Linked DNA regions of Callithrix jacchus. The protein of the gene in region 2 interacts with the protein of the main gene of each other region in a biochemical or structural test. Links are inferred from orthologs where the notes say so. Each region holds a gene or a part of one and is shown on either strand. Other genes may lie near its edges. The genes, in order: KLHL20, CUL3 and DCUN1D5.

Region 1 (6,012 bases), on a different chromosome or scaffold from region 2:
GGGCTCAAGCAATCCTCCTGCTTCAGCCTCCTGAGTAGCTGGGATTACAAGTGTAAACCACTGTGCCCTGCAACACTGTCTTTTTTTTTTTGAGACAGTGTCTCACTCTGTTGTCCAGGTTGAAATGTAGTGGTGTGATCACAGCTCACTGCAACCTCTGCCTCACAGACTCAAGTGATCCTCTCACCTCAGCCTCCTGAGTAGCTAGAACTTCAGGCACCTGCCACAACACTTAGCTAAATTTTTTTGTTTGTTTCCTTTTGTAGAGATGGGGTTTTGTCATGTTGCCCAGGCTGGTCTGGTCTTGAACTCCTGGGCTCAAGGGATCTGTCCATCTTAGCTTCCCAAAGTGCTGGGATTACAAGGGTGAGCCACTGCGCTCTTTTCTTTTTAAAAGAAAAGTGAGCCACTGCCATCTTTTCTTTTTAAAAGCCACTAATGTTGGCCAGGTATAGTGGCTCACACCCGTAATCCTAGCACTTTGGGAGGCTGAGGCAGGCAGACTGCTTGAGCCCAGAAGTTTGAGACCAGCCTGGGTAACACAGCAAAACGCTATCTCTATAAATACAAATTAAAAAAATAAAAAGAGAAGACATCTTATATATATATATATTTGTGTATGAACTACAATGGCTCTGAAAGAACGTGTAAGAATCTGCTTACAGTGGTTGCCTTTGGAGAGAACTGGGAACTGGGGACAGCACTGGGAGACTTAACTTTTTACTGAATATCCTATTGTATCTTTTAAATTTTGCATTGTGTATGCAAATGATAGTAAATAAGTGATGTAATGAAACTTTACTAATAAAATGCCAATTGATTTCATAAAACTTTACAATCAAGAAACTAGAATACCTTCAACCATAATTTTCAGTCTTTTCTTGTTCATAGATTTTTTTTGGATTGGGAAAGTCTGTAGAAATTGTTCAGTCCTATTCAAACAATTATTCAGTAATCATTAGGTACTAGTGATGCAAATATCTGAAGACATCAGACTCAAAGAGCTCACAATCTAGTAGGCAGAATGAACATGTATTCAAATAATCTAATAGAAAAAGTTATTTTTCACTCAAAGCTTCTTTAGTAGCAGCTGAGTATAAATCCAGTTATTACAGAGACTGCCTTCTGGGTTGCATCAGCAAAAATGACAGCCCAATAAAAGGATAGGAAGGTGTGACCACAATTGAATGTAGGAAGCAGGTGAAAGATCAGAGACCAATGTGAGTAGGCTACGCTCTGGCCAACTGATAGTGATGAAGAAAGAGCTGTAACTTAACAATTAACAGCATTAGAATTATCCAATATGATTTTGAATAGCTGACAGTATTATGTAACAAAGGAAGAAAAAAACAGCAGGTATGAATGATTAAGCAAATATTTTATACAGAAACTACTGATAAATCAAAAACATTCCCACACTTTGCCATTCTTTTAAAAAATAATAAGCTCTTATTTTAGTAATTACATAAGATATGACATTTTATGGTAGCTGGAGATGAGATGCAATCTAATCTTTTGCAGTAATGTTAGAATTGAATTGATGAAGCATTTAATATATGTTGTTAATTTTTTCATGTACACTGGGGTAAAATATTCCTATTACAGAGTAAAATATAAACAAGATAATGTATTTTTCATCTTGATAACATCTTTTCATCTAGAGATCTTAAAGCATTTGCAAATGTTCATGAATCCTCAATATCCTGATCAGATACACTAAAGAGGTAAACTGGGGTATAGAGAAGATGAACAGTTCAATGTCAACTGATAAATAACAGATTTGGAAAAAGATATACATTCTGATTCTTGCTCCAAGTTCTGAGTTATAAGTCATATTCCCATTATAAAATGTTTCTTCTCTTAAAAGAACTGCAAAAGTTGTTTATCTTTGATGTTAAATAACAAATAATTAGAGTTCAATAATAGAAAACAAATTTAAAAATCAAAAAAAATAAAGAACCAGGCTGATTCTGTATCAATAAAGATTCTAGTCTCATTTGATAGAACATATTGAGAAAGAGCATTATTAAATTCTAGGGCTGGAAGGGCCTATTTGTCTATATTTTCCCAGACATTGTTTCTATTTTTCTATGGACTAAGTTATTATGTCTAATACCTTTTTTAGTTCTTATACAATCTTCTCTGCAATGCAGCTATTTTAATTAACAGAACAAATGTGAGTAGGCTTTATTATTATTGAATATTAAGGAAATAACCAAAACCATAATTAGGCATGCAGTACACTGTATTATAAATAATTATGATTCTTATATGGCAACAGAATTCTCTACATTTTATAGGGGACTGAAGATTATAATAAATCCACATAGTATCATAGTGAACTTAATAATTTACTGTAAAAAAACATGAAAAAAGAAAAATTGTTTAACAGTATATACAATCCACAGCACTTTTTAGAAATTTAACTTCTATATTTTACTCTACTAAAAAGCTATTAATTCTTAATATTACTTTTGATTTATTTTAGAACAAGACTCATTAGTTGCAAGCAGAACTTATTACAATTGAAACTCTTTTTTAAAAATTTAAATAATTACATGATGAATTTTAATAAGTGAAACCAAAGATTTTCTTCCTAAATGCCTACCTGCGCATTGGCTTTCCTTCCATGCACCATGAAAAGTACCCTTCACCACACTTTAAAGCCGAACCTAAGACAACAGAAAAGCAGGAAATTAATAAAAGTGATTTCTGAGTTTTACAGTAACAATCTTTATATAATCATTTCGCTCATTTCGTCAGTTATCAAGTTTCCTATCTTATTATACCACAGGCCTTTTGCAGATTGCACAGTAACTTAATCTAATATATTTAAGATTACCATCCTTACTGTGCATGCTAAAACGATTAAATGTAAAGGTAAGGGAAAATATGCTAAATAGTCCCGACTGTTAGATCAGTCTTGCTTCTCTTCAAAAAGTGCTTGGACATATTTAACTGTGATCTCGCCATCAAGTAAATTTACAGAGCAATCACCAGACACCCACAGCAGTACTAACCTGATAGATCACATATGGAACACGCTGCTTTAACAACGGATCTGAAGGTTGTTAACTTGTCTCGAAGTGACAGGAGGAGGAGGCGTCAGCATTCGCCTTTACAAACAACCAACTCCGCTTCCGACAGCCCAGGGAGCTTGAACAGGGCAGGGAAAGTATGGCTCCAGACTAACACTCTTTACAAGCATTTCCTTCAGTCCCCGTAACAATGTTCACTACCCACGTAGCAGATTTCGCCAGGTCCCGAGGGTTAAATGGGGGCGCACACTACTTTCTTCCTTCCCTGAATTCCAAACACTGTCTGGGGAAGCCGTCCAGGGTGCGGAACCCCAGCACTACTACCAGGCAGGACACTGCCCAGGGCCTCCTCTGGCTACGAGATAGGCTGTCAGCCTGCGAGAGCGCACTCTGGAGCTCCGCGAGGCCCGGCTTTGGCGCCCCAACAGCCTCTTCCCGGCGCCGTCTGACAAGCGACCGACGAAGCACGGCCCTGACCCCATGGGGCAGCTCAGCAACTTGGGACCACATATTTGCAAAGCGAGCCCTGGAGCGCTGTGCGCTGTTCCCCGCTCTAAGGCGGCTGGCTCACTTACCGGCTTTAACACTTTGTTCTCTGCCGCAGCCTCCACCGTCTATTCCGCCCTCCACTCCTCTCTGCCTACTCCTCTACTGCTGTTAGCGCAGGCAAAATGCCGCTCTTAAAGCTATTTCCTTTCCCTTCACCCGCCCATGTCCAGAAGCAGGAAGTAGTCCTACTCCTAAATCGTTCCTGCAGAAACCCACATAGTCCGCCAAGGGGTTCCGGTGCGGCTCCGGAAGCAGTCGCGCCCTTTGCTAGGGAATTCAGGTAACCTCACAGGTTGTTTATCCTCATGGGATAAACATGTATTTCGAGATTCCTTGTATTTCTAGAGTAACTATTTTTTGAGTTCACTGAGGAACTGGCAGTATTTGATACTGAAGCCCCCTCTTCTTTGTTTTCGTCAGCAAAGCCAGTAGAAAGACTGGAGTGGTCACAGAAAGCTAGGAATTTTTTCTTTGTAGTCGGTGGGTCTCCTTTGGGCACAGTGTTCCTAATTGTGGATTGGATTATTGCATGCACGCATGGGTTGGCATAATTTATCTGTCAGGCCCCTACTATGTGCCAGGTGCAGAAGATACACAGACAAATCAGAGATAGACCTGACCCTCCAGATTTCCCACAATTGAGCTTTCAAGACACCAGGGTTTTATCCAGGCTCTAAGGCTGTGTCAGTTTGCTCTTTCTAGTTTGTATTCAGCACCAGACACTTCACCAAACACATCTTCTGTGGATTCACTTTAATTTAGGGAGAGAAGAGTATATTTTCTTAAAAAAAATTTTTTTCAGTAGCAAGCAGAGTCAAAAAATGTATTTTTCAAGTTATCTTTTCCTCCAGATTTTCCCATAGCACACAGCCACCTGATTTTTACTGTATATTAATATTTAGAAAACAAGTGATAGAAGTGTAAGGTGGGGATTACAATTTCAGGAACGTCAGAGAAAGAGTTGCTGATTTCCTGATAAGTATACTAGGCTAAGTAATAACCAGATTTTCTTTAGCTGTTCTTTACATAGACTCTACAGAGGTTTGTCTAGTTGTTTCTGAGGGGAAAGGATACCTCTTGTTAATTAGCTTGTAGTGGAAAACTCATGGCCTTTAGATCCAGATATAATGGCCCAATAGATTATTCTTGCCTGCTCCCCGGATACAGCTGATAGGAATTGCAATAGAGAAAGAGTTTTTACATGACACTGAGTGGAAAAATGGAAGAGGTTTTATTATTATTCAGATTGGCTTCCTGGAGCATTTGGGGGCTAGGGTTTTTTTCAAAGGTAGTTTGGGGAAAGGGGTAGGGGTGGCTAGGCAATGGGTGCTTGCTGCTGACTGATTGGGGGTATAGGAGATGGTCCTCCTGCCTACTGAGTTGTTGCTGGGTCGAGCCATTGGAACAGTTGGTGGGTCCAGGTGGAGCCATCGGGGTAGTTAAACATGCAAGAAACTTAAAAAGATACCTCAAAAGGCCAATCTTAGAATCTACAATAGTGTTGTTATCTGCAGGAGTAGTTGGAGAAGTTGCTTATCTTGTGACCTCTGGAATAATGGCTGGCAATCATTTATGTCTACACCTTAACAGAATTCAGGCTTATTTATCCCCCTAGTCTGGTAGATTCTCAGTAGCTTTGCAAAGACAGTTGTTTTGGAGAAGAATTATAATTATTAAACCATTAAACTAAATGTCTCCCTAAGTTATCTTGGCTTAAACCCAGGAATAATTAAGGGCAGACTGAAAGCTAAAGACAAGATGGGGTTTGGCTAGATCAGATCTCCCCGACTGCCATAATTTTTTCACTGACAGAATTTTTGCAAAGGCAGTTTCAATTTGCAAAGGTGATTTCACAGATACACACAGGTACACATCCTAGACCTATAACTGACTAGCTTTGTGATCTTATTAAAAATTTTTACTGCATGTGTATAAGTGATATGTATACACATGTAGTAGAATTATTTTTCATATTAAAAACTTTATATAAGTGGTATCAAAGCATATGTATTCTTTTGCAACTTGCATTTTCCATTCAACCTTCCGTTTGTAAGATTTGTCCATGTTGATCAATGCAGGTCCAATTCCATGATTCTCAAAGTGTGGTCCTGGAACAGCAGTATCAGCATCATTTGGGAAATGCCAACCCTTGAGCCCCATTACAGACCTATTGAATTGGAAACTGAAGGTGGGACCTAGTAATTTGTGTTCTAACAAGTTCTCCAGGTGATTATATCGCATGTTAAAGTTTGAGAACTACTGCACTACTTTATTTATTTTCACTGCTATTTAGTATTCCATTATATGAATATACCATAGATTTTTTAAAAATGTACATATGTAAGTGTTTCTTTGGGGTATGTACCTAGAAGTAAAACTGATGGGTTGTATACTATGCACAGCTTCAACTGTTTCAGCACTAGTC
Region 2 (6,012 bases):
TCAAGCGATTCTCCAACCTCAGCCTCCCGAGTAACTGGGACTACAGGTATCCACCACCAGGCCCCACTTTTTTTGTATTTTCAGTAGAGACGAGACTTCACCATGTTGGCCAGGCTGGTCTCAGACATCTGACCTCAGGTGATTCACCTGCCTGGCCATATTTTTTCTTTATGTAATACTATGCATTAACTACTTTTGACCATCAACTCATGCAGTCTGCAGTTATGTATAAAACTGCCAATCTGGAAGACTGGAATTTTGAAGGTCTACAAGCACATGGTTAACAAGATAAATCTATGAAATACCATACCACTGAGATATATAGCTATCTGTAACCAAGTCTCAAACTATAATTTTTTTTTTTTTTTGACAGAGTTTAACTCTTGTTGCCTAGAGTGCAATGGCACCACCTCTGCCTCCTGGGTTCAAGCAATTCTCCTGCCTCAGCCTCCCCAGTAGCTAGGACTATAGGCACCCACCACCATGCCCGGCTAATTTTTTGTATTTTAGTAGAGATGGGATTTCACCGTGTTGGTCAGGATGGTCTCGATCTCCTGACTTCATGATCTGCCTGCTTCGGCCTCCCCAAATGCTGGGATTACAGACGTGAGCCACAGACGCCCGGCCAAACTAGAATTGTTATTTTCAATGGGAACCACTTATGAATGTTATTAATACTTATTAAACAGTAATGAAAAATTTTAGAAATCAACAGCTATTAACTACTGAATATCAAAACTAGTCACTTACATATAACCTGAAAGAGAAGTTATAGACAGAATAGGCCCAAATTAGCTCATAACCATAAACGAAGCTAAAAAAAAAAAAAAAATTCAGTTCCAGTACTACGTGGTAAGCTATCACACAATTTTATTATACTGGTCAGCTAAAGGAATATGAAATTCTCTCCCATCTCTTCTCCTCAACAATACTAGCTCCAGAAGGCAGGGATCTTGGTCTTTTTAGCTATACTGACAAACCCTCACAAGACCGCCTGGCACATAATATTCAGTATTTGTTGAACAAATGAAATGATGGCAAAACAGGTAAGATCAGGGAAACCTGTAGACATCAAAGAGTTTGATTAAACACAGATGGAAGTACAACTGGTCAATCAGAAGGCCATTAACCTGAGTGAGTCGATGTCAAATGTGAGTTACTCCACGTTTTAGAAAAAAATCTTTAGAACTTTCGAATTCAAGAATGAGGAGTGTAGGACCGCAAACACTCCTAGAAAATCTGTTGTACAAAACTATTAACTTCATAAAATTCTAAATTCTAAACTCTACTTTAAAATGGTCAGAATTTAGCAGGAAAATTATTAATATTACTCACAAATTCATAAAGCCAGCTCTTTGCCCAATTATAAAGGAAAACATACTAGTGAACTTCGTTAGTACTCTGTCAACACTGCTGACTTCCTGATGTAATTTCTCACGTTTACTTAGAAAAAAGTTTGAAACATTCAAAAAGCCTTTATTATCAAAAACACTTAATTCTCCCAAATACATCGTACCTATTTACAGAAAGCAGAAGCTTCCTCACACTGACTTTAGTATTAATGTTCTTGCATTTCAGAATTCTACATCAGGTGTATCCTTTTCAATTTTAGGAATTCAGAGGTCCTCAGGTTCTCTGGGACTAAATTACTTGACTCAACTGGGGCAATCATATTTAGATAACAAGTCTTTTCCCCACTACAAGGGCACTTCAGGAAAAGCATGCTTTAAAAAGTGACAATAAATCCCTCTCTTATGCCTGCACATCATATGAAGTATTTGCGAATCTAAGACGGGAAGACCAAGATCTTTCTCTAATTTTACTTTTTAAAATCTTCTGTCCGATTGCTAGTTGGTCTGTCTTGATGTATGCCTTTTATTGTAGCAACATGGGCAAGTATGTCCAGTTTGTTAACAAGAGTACATTTTAATTGCTTGCCATCAGGTATCTGAATCAGATATGACACCCAAAGTTATACCCTATGTCCTAAACACTGAAAGGGTACGACTCAACCTAATGCCAAAAAAGTAAGTTTCTGAGCAGAACGCGTTTGCTGTCACTGAAACCGATGAAAGAAAGCAACTCCACAAGGCGACTAAGCTCATTCTTTGGGCTCCCAAGGCTGAGAAATGGAGAACCAATTGCCCGGTTTGCTCCCTGTGGCTTTCCCCCGGCCTTCCTCGGAGTGGCGAGGCAATCCTGCACAAGAGTTTGTAAAGTGCTTAGGAGGCTTGCGGGATGAAATACACCCCATGTTACTAGTTTATGATCACAGAGCATTCCGTGCAACCACTGTCACTGCGTCGGAGGCAAGTTGAGGGCAGAGCCCTTCCTGGGGAGGGGGACAGAGAGGGCAGCCCTTTCATCACCCTAAAAGCTAGACTGGGTTATTTTGGAAAGTGCAGCGAAACCCCACGTGAAAAGTTGCACACATGCCCCACACAGGGAGGACTCCGCCGCAGCCAGCAAAGCCGGAGACTGGCCCTACACCCCGGCAACGTGGGGAGGCGTGGGGCGGCCGAGGGGCTCCGGCCGCAGCCAACGCCCACGAGGCGGCTGGAGAAGCAGCTCGCAGACGGGGGCGCGGGGCCAGGCCCGGGCTCCCGGCGCGGGGAACGGCCCGGGAGGGCGGCCGCGCCGGGGCCCCGCGCCGCCCGGTTGCTGGGAAGGCTCGCGCCTCGCGGCCGGCGGGCGTGGGGGAGGGGAGGCCGGGCCTGCGGCCTGTTGGGGGAGTTCAGCCCGGGCCTCGCGTGCGGCTCTCGGCTCGGCCCCCGGCCCCGGGGTCCCGGACGCCGGGGAGAGACTCACCGGAAAGGCCCGGATCCGCATCTTGGTGTCCTTCCGGCTGCCCGTGCCTTTGCTCAGATTCGACATGGTGCTCGTCCCCTACCCGGCGGCGGCTTCAGGTCGCGCTCCGCGGCGCCGGTGTCACATTTAAGGCGGGCGGGCAGGCGAGGGGCGACGCTGGGGGCGGTGGCGGAGCGGACCCGGGCAGGGCTAGGGAGCTGGCCGGCCCCTGAGCAGCCGCGGCGGCGGCGGGGACGGCGGCGGCTCGGGCTCCGGCGGCTCCGACGCGGCTGGGGGGCTGCGCTGGCGCGGCTGCTCCACGGGGTCCCCCTCAGGCCCGGCTTCGCTCCCTTTATCGCGCTCCTCCGCGATGGCGGCGGCGGCGGCGACGGACAAACATCTCACTGCGCAGGCCGAACGTCGTCCTCCTCCTCCTCCTTCTCCTCCTCCGCCTGAGCGAGACGAGATCCGGCCCAGAGGGTGGAGGGGGGAGGAGGGAGGGAGGAGAGCCGGAGAGTGAGAGATGCGGGGGGAGGGAGGTGGGAGGACGGGAGGGGGAAGCGGGCGGCCGCGGCGGGGACGCTCAGATCTCGCGAGAAGAGGGCGAGCGCGCTACTCCTTGTGGGGCGGGGCGAAACCCGGGAGCGGGAGGACGCCACCAGAGGGGAGGAGGGGAATGGGGAGTTGGGGGGAGTGGTAGGGGCCGGCGGGGCGGGGTAGCGAAAAGAGGGCGTGGCTAAGAGCGGGAGGTTTAAGCTGCCTTTTGAAAGAGGAGCGCCAGGTCCCCGGTTCTGGGCGGAGGTGGTTGCTGATTGGTGGAACTTCAAGTGGGGTTGGGGGGGAGGGGGGTTCCTGGTCACGTGGGGGGAGTGGGCGGGGGAAGTTTGGAGAGCAGGAGCAGGATTGTAGTGGGCTGGGCCTTACTGGGCTGGGGCAAGATTTAGTCTTGAGGAGGAGCGTGGGGTGCTAGATGGATAACTACGTCCCGAACTGGTTCCTATGTTTTTCTAGGGCATATGGACTAGGGATGGGTACTTGAGCAGAAGCCAGCAACTAGAACGAAGAGTTTGTGCAGGAGTTACCTGCATGATCGGAAATTACTGTCCTGTATGCTCAACAAGGTATTCGGACTGGGTGTCCACACAACAGCTCTCAGGACTGGAGGGTGGAAATTTAATCTACAAAGTTCCCTTAAACTGCAAAAGCTTCGGGACCTCTTGATTCACTGATATTTTCTGGTGGACCCCGGGCTTATTAATGTTAAAACCTGTTTTTCATTACTATCAGAAAAAAATAACAGCTCCATTAATGAAATGCAGCATTTGGTAAATGATGTTAAATGGAATGATAGAAACCTAACTTTAACCAACCAGATGAGTCATTTCTACTATTACCAAGAGTACTGTAGGTTTTTAAAGCCAAAATTACTGTCTGATACAGTTGCTGTATATTTGAAAAGTTTTGGGTTTTGGGGGAGAGGGGTTTGATCATTTTATATTCAAAATGTCTAATCTGACTCATGGTTTTGCTGTCCATTTATTATGAACTGTACTTCCTCATTTACCTACTTGCCCAAGTGCTGTTATGTTTGGGTTTCTGACTCTGCAAGGGAGTATGTGAGTGCCTACTAAAGTTTGTCATCTTCCTGTTTTAAAGAAACAGCTGTTTTAGGGATAGATATGTACATTTAGAAGCTGAAATTGTAATACTTTTAAATAGCAAACTTAATATAAAGTGAAATACACATTTGTTGACTGTAAGGTTGAATTTGCCCTAAATTAACTCTAATTAGTAAGCTTATGAGTTATTGCGCTTAAATCCCCTACTCGGTTGAAACGCCCCATTGCAAATACCATATTTTCTTTTTTTTTTTTTTTTTGTGGGAGTTTTTTGGTATTGTCTAATTAAAGCAAGAGCTTAAGAAACAAGGATATTGCTTAAGATAATATCTGTAAATACTGAAGCTAAAAATAGGTTATCAAGAATTGAGTTAATAAACAAAGATTGGGAGGGGCTCTGACTTCAGTATAAGATAATGTCTGTATTGGAGTTTATAATCTGTATGCTAATTGAACCTTCATTTCCATAATATTAGAATATAATAACAATGTTTTCCTGTTGGTTGTACTCTTATGGCCCAGTTTCTTTTACTGTAAGAATATATGTTCAGAACAGCGATCTCTGAGGAACCATAAAAAGAAATTTAACAGTGGTGTGATCTCTGCTCACGGTAATCTCAGCCTTCTTGGCAAAAAAAAAAGAAATTTAAAAATATATATTAAAAAATATATATATGTTCTTGGAGCCATTGTTTGAATCCCAATTCTGCCACTTTACTAGCTGTGTTATGTGTCTTTTGGGACATGGAGTTGACAATGCCTAGAGTTCCTCATCTGTAAAATGGAGACAATAACAGTACTTCCTCCTTGGGCTACTATGAAATTTGAATAAGTGAATACATTTTAGAAGCCCTGAGAGTTGGGCATTGCTCTCAGTGCCCTGAGAGCAGCCACTTGCCACCTGTTGGCTGTTACTAACATGGGCGTTAAAGCCAAGGTTATACTACTTCCTTTATTCAATAGGTAGGTTTCTTTTAAAAAAACACTTGTATGCTTTTATAAAATAAATCGTATTTTGAAACTAAGCCAGTCACTGACATTTGGATCTCAGTCCACTAAAATATTTTCTGATAAGCTAGGGAGTCAATATAGGTTTGACTTTATATTGGCAAGGGCATTAAAAGGGAACAATTAGCATAGACTATCCCCATCATTTATTAAAATGTATTTTAACCTCAGAAATGGGGAAGATCCATTTTTGAATAAATGACAGTTTCTTGAATTTACCAGCCTCAGGATGAACAATGCATCACACTGATTTTTCTCATTTCACTCTGAACTTAAGGAGACGTCACAGGCCAGCATTTAGGAACTCACTACATTAAGGTATATTTCTACTTAATTGTAAAGCATATAGTAAATATGGTAACTCTAATATGTTTGTTTTGTGAGCCTAGATTTTCATATGTTGGTGTTGCTTAACCAAAATTTAGCTGCAGCTAAAAGAATCATTATGAACTGTGTCTTCCCTTGGCTTTTAACCACCAGCAGTCAGAAAAACGACTCAAAATGAATTTTTCATTAAGAAGTCTGCTCATTTATTTGTTCAGTTATTCATTTATTCAAGAATTATTGTTGAATGGCTACTATATGTCAGAAACTGGGG
Region 3 (5,912 bases), on a different chromosome or scaffold from region 2:
GGCTCCAGCCTCTGACTCCTATAAAGCAGTACAGGTGCAATTTTGTTGAATTTTTAAATTTTTCAAACAAATCTGAAAGTTTTATTTTCATACAAAATCTCCTAGTTTTAAATACTGATTTGAAATAAACAAATATACACATCTACAGGCCACATACAGCCTTTGGGCTGCCAGCTTACTGCTGCTAGGTATTATTTCCTTAAAATAATACCAAATTTTATACCATCTTGGAGAGAGAGGAGAAAATACATGTAGAAGAAATGAAGCTATCCCTTCTGCTATTTTATTTCTTCAGTGTCACAGAAAAAAAGTGTATAATTTCAGTTGAAGTTTATAGGAATGTACCTTTCCATGTAACCCTTTTGAACACTGAAAACACACGCAAGCAACCAAAATGGTGGTGGGAACTGAAATAATATATAGTTCTACAGAATTAACTTGGTTTATCTAATTATTTCAATTCCTGTTTTATGGAGTATGGACAGATATTTTAACTGGAGGGATTGAAAAATTATAAATATTTCACTATCAGTTTACTCACAATCAATTTATAGTTTTCAGAGGGAAGTTATACTGACATGATATGCCATACTGTTAATGGGTGGCATGATATTCTATAATAACTTTAAAGCTTTTTCTAGAGTTACTGATTGTTTTGCTGTCATATCTCAAAAATCATGACTATATTTTTCTTCCATAGGGAAGTGCCAGGAGAGACAGAAACAAAGCTGAATTTTAGCTTCTGGATGCAAAAACGATTTAAATCTAGCTAAAATGTTTGGTTATCGAGGAACTGAAAACATTTCATTTACCAGCATAGATTTTATATAATACTGCTGAATCTAAACTCTCTAGTTCTCCCACATCCCTCACACGATTAAATCATCAGTTACTATTACAAAGTTTAAAACCTCTATGCTAATAATACACAAATGCATATGCTCATTTAAGATTTTGGAAATTTTATTTTCACAGGAATACATTATGTTACACTTACAAGCACCATCTTCATCATAGTTACTAAGGTCGGCATGGACTGTTCTGCTGAATTCTAATACATTGTACCACTGATCTTTGTTCATAACACGATACTTTGATTGCTGAAAAAAACGATTTAAATATTTGGATTAAAAAAAATTACTCAATTTAGTAAACTAAGTTATAACTTTGTGATTTGGATTTTCCTAGAACATTTATTATTCTTTTAAACTATTTGTGTTTCTAAGAGATTCCTCATGGGCATTTACAGATCGATATCATCTATTTTGTACTTTTCTTTCGTTTTTGAGGAATAATAAGAGCACTGAGTACTAATTTAAAGATAAAACTAACTTTTACAACATACTGTGTTACCACCCCTCCACCAAGGAGATCAAGATATATACTGTTTCCTACATCCGGTATGTTCTCTTGAGCTGCTTCCTTGTAAATCATTTCTCTACTTAAGATTTACTGTTTAGCCATATTTTGAGTTGGCAAAACCCCGAAAAACTAATTTTGCATGACAAATGTCTGTGCTACAATATATTTCTTGGAGGTTTCTTTCATGGGTTGAAGGTAGTATTGAAAATATCTTAGGTACAAAATGTATTTATAAACATGAACTTCTATCTTAAAATAACAGCTGATATATACATATTTTAATATAATTTTTTTCTCTACTCAAGGAGTTTTTTTACAGCATACTATTAAAAATCTATTTGTTCCTCAATTAAAAGTATAACTTTCAGTCAGACTAAGTTTTAAAATAATACTTTCAAAATTCAAAAAAACATACATACCTCCAGGTACTGGTAAAATACTGAAAACAGTGGCCATGTCCTCCCAAGCAGAAGAGCTAACATAGATTTAGCAGTATCAATATCAAGGCTTCTCTGATCTTTATCCTAAAATATAAGTGAAAAAGTTTTCCTCAGTGTGGCCTCAAGATGAAAGCGATTAAAACAACAAAACGTGAAAACTGCACCTACCCTTGCAAAATCAAAGGCATATCTGTAGATATTCTTAAATGACGAAATGTCATTCAACTGTGAGCGCAAGAAGTCAAATTTGTTTTGTAACTTTTCTGTGCAGTCACACCTTAAATAAAAGAAATATCAAACAATTACATCATCAAGAAAATCCAAACTATCATTGGAACTTAGAAGGAATCCATTAAGAAAAAAGTGAGTTCATTTATGAAGTTAATTTAGGTTTAAAATTCTCTGATTCACAAATTTAGAATAACAAATTTCTTGCCTTGCATCTACCAATGCAACAAAAAAAAGATAAAAGGGAAAAAAGAAACCTGGGAATCAATGAAAGTTCAGTCCAATTACTTTTCTTAAAAACAAACAACTCCTTCAAAAATTCCAATAAAATCCAAGTTAAAAAGAGATGTATTAAAATGTTTTATCACACACACAGCTAAAAATGACAGATCGTTTTTAGTTTCATTTAGTTTCATTTGCTCTGTCATTTTTAGCTGTGTATGTGATAAAAAATGCCCTTGTCACCTCTTTCTTTGGAAAGTTCTTATGGAACAATTTGGTGAAAGAGATTAACCATGAGTGGTTTTAAAAGTTTAGGATATAACACAGAGGAAATTAATACATTATATTAAGTGGTCCAGTCATAAATCCAGATCCCTATATTTTTGTACACAAAAAGCCAAGCAGTAGAAGCACCTAACTTCAAATAAGTTATACATGCAAAAGCATGCAAACAAGTTATACATGTTATTTTAAAAGACATGACAACTAAATATATGGAAGGCTCAAAAATCTCAACTGGCTTTCTCTCAGTGGGCTGATAAATTCCACTGCTTAGCAAGAAGCAAGACAGTGAAGGCCTTTCACAATTTGGCACAAATCTCTAGTGTCATCTCCTGCCACTTCCAGATAACCTTACCATGCTCTAACTATGTAACTTACCATTCCCAAATGCCACAGCCATGCTTTAGCATCCACTATTTCTACTTGAAATACCGTTCCCTCCAACATGCTGATAACAATATTACTCATCAAAACCTAAGTCACCTTTTGTCACCTCTGAGAGACCATCTGACTCCCTTTAATCAAAAATAATTGTGCCATCTACTGTGATCCACAGTATTCCACTCAAAACTGAATTTCAGTATTCAACATGCTCTCTAGACACCTGGCATTCTCAGATTTAACGAAGACTATACTGAATCAATAATGCAAAGACCTGTGATGTGTAGTATCATAATTTCATTAGTGTGTAAACACTCTGGACAAATTTCTAATACTAATTAAACCCTGCATTTCTAGAATAAGTCAAATTTGGTCATGTTACCTGTTTTATACATTGCTAGGTTTTGGGGTTATTTTTGCTATGTCCTAAGTGAGGCTAGCTTCTAAATTTCATTCTCACTCTCCTTGCCAGTTTTGTTAACAAGTTTGTAGTGTGTAAGATTCAGAAAATAAAAAGAGAATTGCTACTTTTTTCCCTGTTTTTGAAAAAGCTTATGTAACTCTGGAATTAGCATCTGTCCAAACTCAGGTGAGTACTGAGGAAAGGAAGAAAGACTTTTAACAAATAAACCAACATTTTTAATGTCTATAGGACCATTCAGATTTTCTATTTCTTTTTGAATGTTTTGGTCACATACTTTTCTGATAACTAGATTATTTTACATACAATTTTATTTAAATATGATTAAAATTATTCATAACATTTTCTTATTTGCATCAACATTATTTATCTTCATCGCTTTTCTGTTGGTTTCTTGACCAATCTTGCCAGAATTTAGAACGTGATCATATCTTTTGCAGGAAAATAGATGGAGCTAGACGCTATTATCCTTAGCAAGCTATTGCTGGAAAACCAAATACCACATGTTCTCACTTATAAGTGGGAGGTAAATGATGAGAATTTATGAACACAAAAAAGGAAAACAACAGACACTGGGGTCTACTTGAAGGTGGAGGGTGGGAGAAGAGAGAGAAACATAAAAGATAACTATTGAGTACTAGGCTTAAAACCTGGGTGATGAAATAATCTGTAGAATAAAGCCCTGTGACAATAGTTTACCTATATAACAAGCCTTCATATGTACTCCCAAACCTAATGGTTAAAATAAAAGATCTTGTACTTCAAAAATGCATGTGTATTTCTGCTTTTAGTATTCACTTGAAAACGGCACCTTGACAAGAGTTGTTTCAAAGGAGTGATAGGGATAGAAATCTTACTGGAATCGGTTTAGGAGAGAATGAAAAGAGTGGAACTGGAGAAAATAAGTACAGATGAATGCTTTCAAAGAGTTTGATTCTAAAGTGGTGCAAAGAAAAGGGGCACTAACTTGAGTGGGATGCTGTCAATGTACTTTTTATTCTTTCTCTGTCCTAGGTACAACTAAAATCACTGGACATTTTACAGAAAATAAACAAAGACTCTGAAAGGTGGAAACGTGAGGAACAACATGGTGGTGAGTTCTCTGAGTTTATTTTTGCCTAATATATTCTAAACTTGGAGCTTAAGACGCTAGTAACCAGAAACACCAACGAGGGGAGACAAAAAGCCCCAATAAAACCCTGCCTTTTCTTTAGCCAAAAGACAAAGAAAGGAGGAGCCTCACAGAGCAGAAAATGCTTAGAAAATAAACACTCTAATTAAAAACCATTGAAGAAACTATGGCCCAACTCTCACCAATGCTAGCAAACACTGAATGGGGACCTAAAATGTCTACCCTTACCGGGATACAATAAAGCCTCTCTCCCAACTCCTGCAATGCTGGTGGAAACCACATGGGTAACATGAACTTCTGTTCTCACCAGGTAGTAACAAGCAGCCAATCCTCCTCTACCCTAGGTTTGTACAGAGGAGGCCAAGTGAAGAGTCAGGGCTATCACCATCACCCCTATCCCTTTCAGACAAGAAAGTATCAGTAAAAGCCTAGTGGGAACCCAGAACTCTCATCTCTGCCCAGCAGTCACAAGGGACATCCTTCTTCAGATGTCAATGGATGCAGAGTAGAAAATTTAATTTCTACCTGTACCTGGCAGTAATAAGGTGGCAGCCCTGATTTCTCTTGCCAGAACAGCATTAGAGTAAGATAGCTAAAACTAAAGGTTCAAATAAGATCTGGAGATCGAGGGTTTTGTAATATACTACCCAAAATGTCCAGGTTTCAATTTTAAAAATCACTTGTCAAACGAAGATCTCAAATGGAATGCAAAAAGACGATCAATACTTGCAAACACCAAAATTACAGAGATGTTCAGAATCATCTGACACACTTTAAAGTAGCTATAAAATGAATGCTTCAATGAGTAATCAAAAACATTATAAAAAAATGAAAAAAAATACAAAGTATCAGCAAAAGAAAAAGTCCAAGGACAAAGAAATAGATATAAAAAAAGGAAACAAAGGGAAAGTTTTGAATTGTAAAATACAATGTCAACTTAAGTTCTAATATATTCATAATTACATTAAATGTTAGTAGTCTAAATATACCAATAAGACAGAGTGGATTAAAAACAGGATGACCCAAATATATGCTGTCTAGAAGAAGCTTTAACTTCAAATAGTATAGGCAGGTTGAAAATGAAACAATGGAAAATAATATCTCATAGAAACGTCAATTAAAAGAAAGCAGAAAGTGGCTTTCTACATTAGATGATATTAAAATAGACTTAGAGCAACTTCAGAGCAAAGAAAATGATCAGAACAAAGAAGATAATTATATTATAATAAAAGAGTCAATCCACCAGGAAGACATAGAATCCTAAACAATTCTAAGCAACCTCATATGCATTAAACAATAGAGCTTCAAAATGTAAGTAAAAACTAATAGTGCTGAAAAGAGAAATAAATTCATAATTACAGTTGGATATTTCACCACCCCTTTTTCAGCAATTGATAGAAACACTAGATAGAATTCAATAAACACATAGAATTTAACATCATCA

What was found.
Region 1: the proteins of CUL3 (region 2) and KLHL20 form a complex in vitro, tested with the Homo sapiens proteins (2 studies listed by BioGRID and IntAct). The link is inferred for Callithrix jacchus from reciprocal best matches to the Homo sapiens genes CUL3 and KLHL20.
Region 3: the proteins of CUL3 (region 2) and DCUN1D5 form a complex in vitro, tested with the Homo sapiens proteins (2 studies listed by BioGRID, with this or other methods). The link is inferred for Callithrix jacchus from reciprocal best matches to the Homo sapiens genes CUL3 and DCUN1D5.

The regions. Positions count from the first base shown.
Region 1 is NC_133519.1:29,305,650-29,311,661, forward strand, and holds the start of KLHL20 (kelch-like protein 20), read right to left. Parts: upstream 3,756-6,012; 5' UTR 3,614-3,755; intron 3,157-3,613; 5' UTR 3,021-3,156; intron 2,673-3,020; 5' UTR 2,632-2,672; coding exon 2,609-2,631; intron 1-2,608. UniProt on the Homo sapiens protein: Substrate-specific adapter of a BCR (BTB-CUL3-RBX1) E3 ubiquitin-protein ligase complex involved in interferon response and anterograde Golgi to endosome transport.
Region 2 is NC_133507.1:146,311,488-146,317,499, forward strand, and holds the start of CUL3 (cullin-3), read right to left. Parts: upstream 3,191-6,012; 5' UTR 2,875-3,190; coding exon 2,809-2,874; intron 1-2,808. UniProt on the Homo sapiens protein: Core component of multiple cullin-RING-based BCR (BTB-CUL3-RBX1) E3 ubiquitin-protein ligase complexes which mediate the ubiquitination and subsequent proteasomal degradation of target proteins.
Region 3 is NC_133511.1:3,104,448-3,110,359, forward strand, and holds part of DCUN1D5 (DCN1-like protein 5), read right to left. Parts: intron 2,080-5,912; coding exon 1,971-2,079; intron 1,887-1,970; coding exon 1,782-1,886; intron 1,101-1,781; coding exon 998-1,100; intron 1-997. UniProt on the Homo sapiens protein: Contributes to the neddylation of all cullins by transferring NEDD8 from N-terminally acetylated NEDD8-conjugating E2s enzyme to different cullin C-terminal domain-RBX complexes which is necessary for the activation of cullin-RING E3 ubiquitin ligases (CRLs).